2 linked regions of the Drosophila melanogaster genome follow. The protein of the gene in region 1 interacts with the protein of each later gene in a pairwise test. Each region holds a gene or a part of one and is shown on either strand. Other genes may lie near its edges. The genes, in order: CG18540 and CG31326.

Evidence for each region.
Region 2: the proteins of CG18540 (region 1) and CG31326 interact in a two-hybrid assay, tested with the Drosophila melanogaster proteins (one large-scale study listed by BioGRID).

Annotation. Positions count from the first base shown.
Region 1 is NT_033778.4:18,297,562-18,300,778, forward strand, and holds CG18540 (uncharacterized protein), read left to right. Parts: upstream 1-1,755; 5' UTR 1,756-1,771; coding exon 1,772-1,846; intron 1,847-1,914; coding exon 1,915-2,067; intron 2,068-2,128; coding exon 2,129-2,473; 3' UTR 2,474-2,511; downstream 2,512-3,217. Other genes in the region: CG18538 (uncharacterized protein), read left to right, coding at 1-190; CG18539 (uncharacterized protein), read left to right, coding at 639-704, 763-915, 982-1,320.
Region 2 is NT_033777.3:14,217,629-14,222,288, reverse strand, and holds CG31326 (uncharacterized protein), read left to right. Parts: upstream 1-2,083; 5' UTR 2,084-2,094; coding exon 2,095-2,304; intron 2,305-2,494; coding exon 2,495-2,660; intron 2,661-2,717; coding exon 2,718-3,486; intron 3,487-3,548; coding exon 3,549-3,966; 3' UTR 3,967-4,153; downstream 4,154-4,660. Other genes in the region: Sp212 (Serine-peptidase 212), read left to right, coding at 1-161; CG33109 (uncharacterized protein), read left to right, coding at 710-1,600; CG9649 (uncharacterized protein), read left to right, coding at 4,547-4,660.

The sequences.
Region 1 (3,217 bases):
ATTCGAGGGTAAATTCCAACCGCCATTGCCAAAGCAGACCTATTTTGGCAACAAATGCGTGATCGATGGCGATGGGTTGCCAGAAATTGTTCCTGCCGGTTTTTATCTGATTGTGATCAAATGCTATGGACCAGGTCAACCCACATGGAACACTACGTCAGTTTTTAAAATCACACCCAAATTAATGTAAAAACCATTATCTTAGATAAACACATTTTTTTTTTAACTGCGCTTATGTTTAATAAAATCAATGGTAAAAATTTGAAATATTTTAGCTGTTTCGATAAGAAATGAGTGTCCTTGAAGGAGGTAAGAAATATTCAAGAAAAATTCAAGATCAGTAACAATTACTAGTGGAAGAGAATTTTCAGTTATTGTGTAAAAAAATTCACATTTCTCAAATACTTAATATACATTTGTAAGTTTGCTCAATTGTAGCTAAAGACCAACCAATAAACAAAATTCATATTTAATATTCAAAGTCCACACATTTTTTCATGTTTTTGGCATGCAGTCTTGTTTGACATGGTTAGCCCAAAATGTAACAGGGAGTTATATAATTAATACATGCAATCCACTGCAGTTTGCTATATAAATGCAACTAAATTGCAAGTTGATGAAGTTTAAAGTCTGGCTAAATGATTTCGTGTTGTTCGTTGCTATTTTTGCTCGCTACGCTGCTGATCGATGGCTGCAAAGCAGGAGTATGCCAGGATATTCTAACAAAATAGGATACTTATAATTTCTGTGCTCATTCCACAGCGTAACTGGGAGTATGAGCCCTTATCATTGACATCCTATAGCTCAGATGAGAGTCTCTTGAAGATCACCACAAAAATTGATCGACTTGGGCGCAGCGATTATGCATTTTCCATGACACTGGACTGGAACTACGATGTGGATAAGGACACTATGGTTGAGATATTGATTTTAATATCAAGTTTCTATTAATTAAGAAAATGGTTATTAATCGCTGGACAGGTGGAGGCAGACGTTCATCACTGCTCATCGGGTGACGAAGACGATTACAAAATGATGCCCTGGTCCATTCCTAAACAGCCATTTTTCGAATATCTAAACGGTTTCTACAAGGACGCGTTCATCAAGAATGTGGGCCATTGCTCCAATATGGTGCAGTTCGATGGCGATTTTGTGCCACCATGGCCACGAAATGTTTACAAGTTGGACAAATGTGTGGCCAGTGGCGAGGGACTGCCAGATATTGCACCAGAGGGTTTCTACAAGCTAGAGTATAAAATGACAGGACAGGTGGATTGGGGTTTCACCCTGATTGTTAAGGTCTCGCCAAAGGTTATTTAATATTATATTATATGCGGCTCTTAAGAAGTTCAAACATTTTTTTTTCTACTTAACAAATTGTACTATGTTGTGTAAAATGAATTTATATTAAATTGTATTAAATTAATATTTATAAAATTTATATTTTTGTATTTTATTTACAACGAATTTATCGTCTACATTATCAACTTCTGCATATCCAAATATGAAAGAAAATTTTTTTAGCCAATGCAAGCATGACTTGCGCGTTGTGTATTTGTGTAATTTGCTAAATTTGGATGGGTGATACCGTGACGATCAGTAAATTTAGATAAGCTTGACATGATTTACACCTATTCCAACTTCAATAATCTAACAATGTGCACAATTGTACACAATGTTTTCGTGTCACAAATGTTTTTAAAAGATAAATCTAAATTGACAGACTATAAAAGCAAGTAGGTTGCAACTTATATTGTCAATTTAACCAGAAATGATTTCGTTTTGCATTTCATCGCTTTTATCAGTGTGTATTTTTGCAAACCTTTACAATGGTTGTGCGGCAAAGGTATGCTAAGAAAGAAATATTCCTAAATATTTCTTTATTTTTTTTTAAATATGGTTTATTGTTTCCAGCCCAACTGGGAGGCAACGCCATTGTCGATTGGTGGCACCACCACAAATCCCAGTGCCATGGACATGAATCTGCGAATTGAGCGCATTTCAAGGTCGGAATTCGGGTTTTCAGGCACATTCTTCTGGAATATTGATGTGGACGATAGCGTGATGGTAATTTCTGTACCAAATATCATTGATTCAAAAGCACTTAAAAATCAAATACTGCTTTTAGGTCGAGATGCGTATTCTGAGCAGTTACTCCGGTGACGAGTCCGATTACAAACTGACTCCCATGTCCATTCAACCGCAGAAATTCACCGAATATGTCAATACCTTTTACAAGGACCTGTTGTTGCCGAATCTGGGCAATTGCACCGATTTGCCCGTCTATGAAAATGAATTTGTACCACCCTGGCCCAAGGCGACCTACAATTTCACCCGCTGCGCTCTGAACGGCCAAGGATTGCCGGATATTTTGGCAGATGGCTTCTATAAAGGCGAAGCCGTCATCACCGCCCAGCCAAATCTTGAAGTCACCGTGTCCGTCGTTCTGCGGATCAGAACGAAAATGTTCTAAATATTCGAGCATTAAATCGCAGAACATCTTCTCACTCTATTGCCAACTGTTTTTGCTGTTGGGCATTTCCGAGGTGTGGGCCGAAATTCCAGCTGCGACGAGAGGATCGTCATAAAATCCGACCGACTCGGGGGCCAATAAATGAACCGGGCCAGGTAAAAATCGCTTTTAGCCAGCTGAAGTTGGGAGGACGGAAAGGCAGGCAGGCAGGCAGTTCGAGTGTGAAATTGGCAAGACATGTTTGGAAACTGTTGTGGTAAGAAAAGGAGTGTGGTAGTTGGCGGGATAGAGAGTAACTTCGAACAAAAATTGCACCAAGTGTCGCTAGCACTGAGAAAAAGGGTTTTTGCCAAAGAAAATTATGCTCATATAAATGAAAATAGCTGAAAGTATTAACTAACAAGTGTGCAAACCATAAGGTTGTAAAACTGCTCTAACAAGACATTCTTAAAGCAAAGAAAGTCTCTCATTTTTTTTCCTGTTTACTTTCCCCTCATTTCGCTCCCCCCTTGAAAATGCAATTCGTGTTGCATTTCAAGTGAAAACTCTGCACAGTTGCCTCGGCTAATTTATTGCAAATTGTTAAAAGCTACAACGACGAAGGCGACGCTGCTGCTGCTGGCTGTCAACTGATGACAGCAGCATGCGGCACCTACCCGCCGCAACCCGCCTCTCGAAAAACTTGTGGCCGCCACTGTGTTTTCCCCATTTTCAGGCTGCTCCGCTTGTTGGCTGGTGGAAAAA
Region 2 (4,660 bases), on another chromosome or scaffold:
CCGGCGGTGGACTGATGGTCAAGCAGGGCGATCGATGGCTGCTCCGGGGTATTGTGTCTGCAGGGGAACGCGGACCTGCCGGCACCTGCCAGCTTAATCAGTATGTACTGTACTGCGATCTTTCCAAGCACATCAACTGGATAAGCGAAAACATTCGCTGAGCATCCGGATTTGCTTTGTGGACAATCAAATTAAAAACTTTAATGCCAAAAGATATTTAGATGTTTCACTGTCTGGTGATTTTCGGCAAAACGAGTTTGCGCCTCCCATCTTTCACTTATTTTATTGGCAATGATGGATGATTGAAAGGCAAAAAAAAGTACAGATAGGTTGCTACGTGCTGACAATAAAATGTTTGTAAAAAAATAACTTTAATTGTTGAGATGTACTTCATTAATAGTTCATCTATTTTAGGATTTAGCAGCGGCCACTTTTTTTTTTTATTGGTAGAACCGATTGATTGTTCTGGCTAAAAGACACAACTGACTTTTTCGCTAACTTTCTTTAGCTAATATCTTACAAATTAATGGCCATGTGTATTGCATGTATGACATAAAAGTAAACATATATGCCCACGTATTGACTGCTAAATGATTGGCATCGGCTGAGCAAATGTTTGGGAAGCGTGCTGCACATTTAAGTACCCAATGTAATTGGCTATAAAAGGCCTGCAGTACGATATATAGACTCTTAGAGGCCTGGTATAAAGATGAAGTGCAGCGGCTTTCTAATCCTCCTGGTGGTCCAGTTTGCCTGGAATGACAGCGTTCTGGCAATAGAAACTGCTTTTGATATCTGGAATAAATTTGGAGATGGTGGAGCTCTGCCCAATGATCCAGAAAGGCTAAACGAAAAAGGTATTTCGGTTCTAAGTCCAACTAACGACCTGCAAAACAAGAACGAAGGAACGATAACGCAATTGAGGAATCTTCTTGACAATTATGTGGCAAAATTATTATCCGATTTGCCCAATACTCGGAAAAAGAAAAGGAGACAAGGCCTGCAGGAATCTCTGCAAGCTCTAACTGGTCTAGGTTTGAGCATATCTCCATTGCTAAAATTCCTAACGAACATCAAGGCAGAGGAGGAGCAACTTGTCTCGAAACTTAATGTCCAGGAGGAATGGAAGTTCTGGGCTGCCGCAAAGGTGTCGAAAGTTCAGGAGTCGACTAAAGGTCTTAGAACCGCGGAGGCTGTTTCCATCACTGAAAACTTCAACAGTCGTTACGGCCTTCGATTGCGTAGTTGTGTTGGTCTGTTTATCTGGAATCAGATTCGGTTTAACTTGGACTTGGAAAGTTCCCTAAATGGCCTGCAAAATCCAACGGAGCACTTGATCGATGTCACTGAAGGCTGTTCCAGCGTTAAGCCAAAAAAGTGCCGGCGGAACGTCAGAAGAGCTATCGATGGCATCCAGAATGCTCCACAGAATTTGCTGAATCTGCGGACTAAGGGCAACCAGTTGGAGGACATTCAACGGCAAAGTAATCAGTGTGTGGATAAAACTGTTAAGGAATACACTGAGGAGCGGGTCGAGGTAGAAAGACAGCTAGATGATATAATCGAGGATTATCTTGAGAGTGAAACATTTACCAAATAAGTCGGGATCTATACATTTAAAATCAGATATTATTTCAATAATCACTGGCGAACATATAGCAGAGACAGCACATAATTAGGAACCTTTCGCACCAATTATTATAGAAACAAATAAATAAATATGAGATCCATTAAATATGTTTTATGATAAAGGAGCAGAAAATCAAAAATTAAATCTTTTAAATACCTACTGTGAGAAAATGTTCATTCATTGTCTTTGTGCTGTTAATAAAGTTATTTTAAGAAAAGGTAAGTAATATTAATGCATTTTTTGGCTTAATGGAGCTTAGCATGTGGAAGTGCAATTTACGCTCGAGAATTTAGCTCCAAAAACTGAATACTTAAATACCCACAAAGTGGGGAGAGCCACTGACTATTGAGAGACTTAGATCGGGTATCAATCAGTGCTCATTGAGTGAGTCTTTTGAGTTTTAATGCGAGTAATTAAAATCTCTATAAAATAGACTGGAAAAGCTCAGCTCATACGTAGTTGCAATGAGTCCGCATCAGCTGGTGACCGTTCTCCTTCTGGCTTCTCTGATTAACTTGGTTCTTGGCCAGTTGCCCCGGAATGGCTGCTCTGGGCGATTTCAATACCAGGGCTACCAGGGGCAGTACATCGGTTTGGTGGAAGTTCGTCATCCGGAGGCCAATAACCAGACACTCATCCTTCAATTCTCCCAGCAGGGATATCACGATTTCGAAGTAAGATTCAGCATTATTAACTTGGAAATTCTGAACTCATAATAAGTCGCTTCTGTTATCACTTTGCTTACTTTGCGGTTGTGCAATTTCCCATGCGGCAATGAAAATTGACATTGCAAAAATATATAAACAAGCACAATAGAATGATAGAATTATTAATCAATTAATTTTTGATATTTCTTTTTTTAAGGACTATGTGGGCAGTATCTCTCTGGTGGATGATGATGAAGTGACCCAGGAAAATCTGCGTCAGGGCTTGCCGATTAGATACCGTGTGGATTTTCCTATTCCAACAATACCGCCCAAGATCACTAGCATGCAATTGAATGGCGTACAACTTTGTAGTGGCGGTGTATGTAAGTTTTTATAGTTCAATATATTTTAAATGCAATTTATGGACGTATAATTTCTAGATCCTAAGCCAAGAACCGGCATTACGCTGCGAATCACTTGGACGCCCTCCTACATATCGGTTTTCGGCGTTAATCCCCAACCTGTGCCAACCAGACCTCGACCCGCTTGGCAAGATGAAAGTCCACAGATAGACTACAGGGAAACCAGACCCAGTCAACCCAGACTAGAGGATAGCGGAGAGTTGTTTGGAAGGAGTAATGAGTCACTGCCAGCCTTCCAAAATCCCGGATGGGGTACCGCCCCTCAGCAGGCAAATCCGAATAGAGGTATTACCTCTCAGCCGGAGATACCAAGTCCCGTCCCACAACGACCGACACCAAATCCTAGTCGATCTAATGCTCCTCAGCAGGCGGTGAGAAGCCCTGTAGATCTTGTTCCCCAGCAGAACCCTTCATCCAATGGTATTCCCTGCGGTCGGGAGAGAGCTAGTACCACTCCATTGATCTTCCAAGGGAAAAGTCTTCAGCGAGGCCAGCTCCCATGGTTGGTTGCTATTTTCGAACGACGGGAGAGCAACGGACCCGCTTTCATCTGTGGAGGAACCCTCATCTCCACATCCACGGTACTATCGGCCGCCCACTGTTTTCGTGCTCCTGGAAGGGATTTGCCCGCCTCTCGGCTGGCCGTCTCCTTGGGTCGAAATACTTTGGCCATTCACTCCGATGGAGAATTTCGCGGCGTATCCCAGCTGATTATCCACGAAAACTTCCAATTCAAACAGTTTACGGAGGCCGATTTGGCGCTGGTCCGATTGGACGAACCTGTGAGGTGAGTCTATAAATTATATAAATATATTAAATATAAAAAACTACTGCTTATACTATAATAAGGTACACGGACTACATAGTACCTATTTGCCTTTGGAGCACCAGCAACCGCATGGATTTGCCCCAGGGGCTCAAGAGCTATGTTGCCGGCTGGGGACCTGATGAGACCGGCACCGGCAACACTGAAGTATCCAAGGTTACTGACCTTAATATAGTCAGCGAAGCGAACTGCGCCCTGGAGCTGCCACATGTTCTGGTCCAGCCGAGCTCCCTGTGTGCCAAGAAAACGGGAGCGGGTCCTTGTGCCAGCGATGGTGGTGGACCATTGATGCTGCGGGAACAGGACGTTTGGGTGCTGCGGGGAGTGATCTCCGGAGGTGTGATCAACGAAAAGGAAAACACCTGTGAGCTATCCAAGCCATCCGTATTCACTGATGTGGCCAAGCACATTGAATGGGTTCGCCAAAAAATGTGGAATTGAACACAAAATGAAGATTGCGAACATGAAAAGCATGCCCCCTTCTTGAAGAGATTCCCATTGATGAATGTAAAATCACGTAATCGGAAGATCCATGTATTACTGCCTACTATTGCGTTATGGGTAATTCTAAGTGGATCCATTAATCATTGAAATAATAAAGCAAAACGGCGCATCTTGAATACACTGCAAACTTTTTTGGATCTTTTGTTTCCATGAACATTTATTTTGGTTATTTTGGTTTATAAAATCCCAATTCATGCTCTTAAGCCCCAAAAAATAATTCTGAGTCAAACATAGTATTAGTCCCCCAAAACCTTTTTTTGAAGAGTATAACTACGTCACTTATTCTGATCAGGTTGGGAGAGCCAAGCAGCTTTGTTTTGAATCGGACTATTCAGCTAGATCGGAAACTAATGCGAATTGGCTGAGCTAATACCAATCATTCATCGCGCGACTCTCAATCAGTGCGGTTTAACCTCTGATTCTCGATTGGATTAAATTCGCGTCTAGCTGAATGCTGTGCGATTGCAGTCGCATTTGTTTTCCATAAATATTTACTGTTCCGGAAAGGGTGATCGCCATGCGCCAACTGCAGTTGCTTGGTTTTCTGATCGCCATACTGCAAATCAGCTATATAAGTGCCCAAAACTTGCCATATATCCAGTGTCCGATGATATTTCGGTACCTGGAGTAC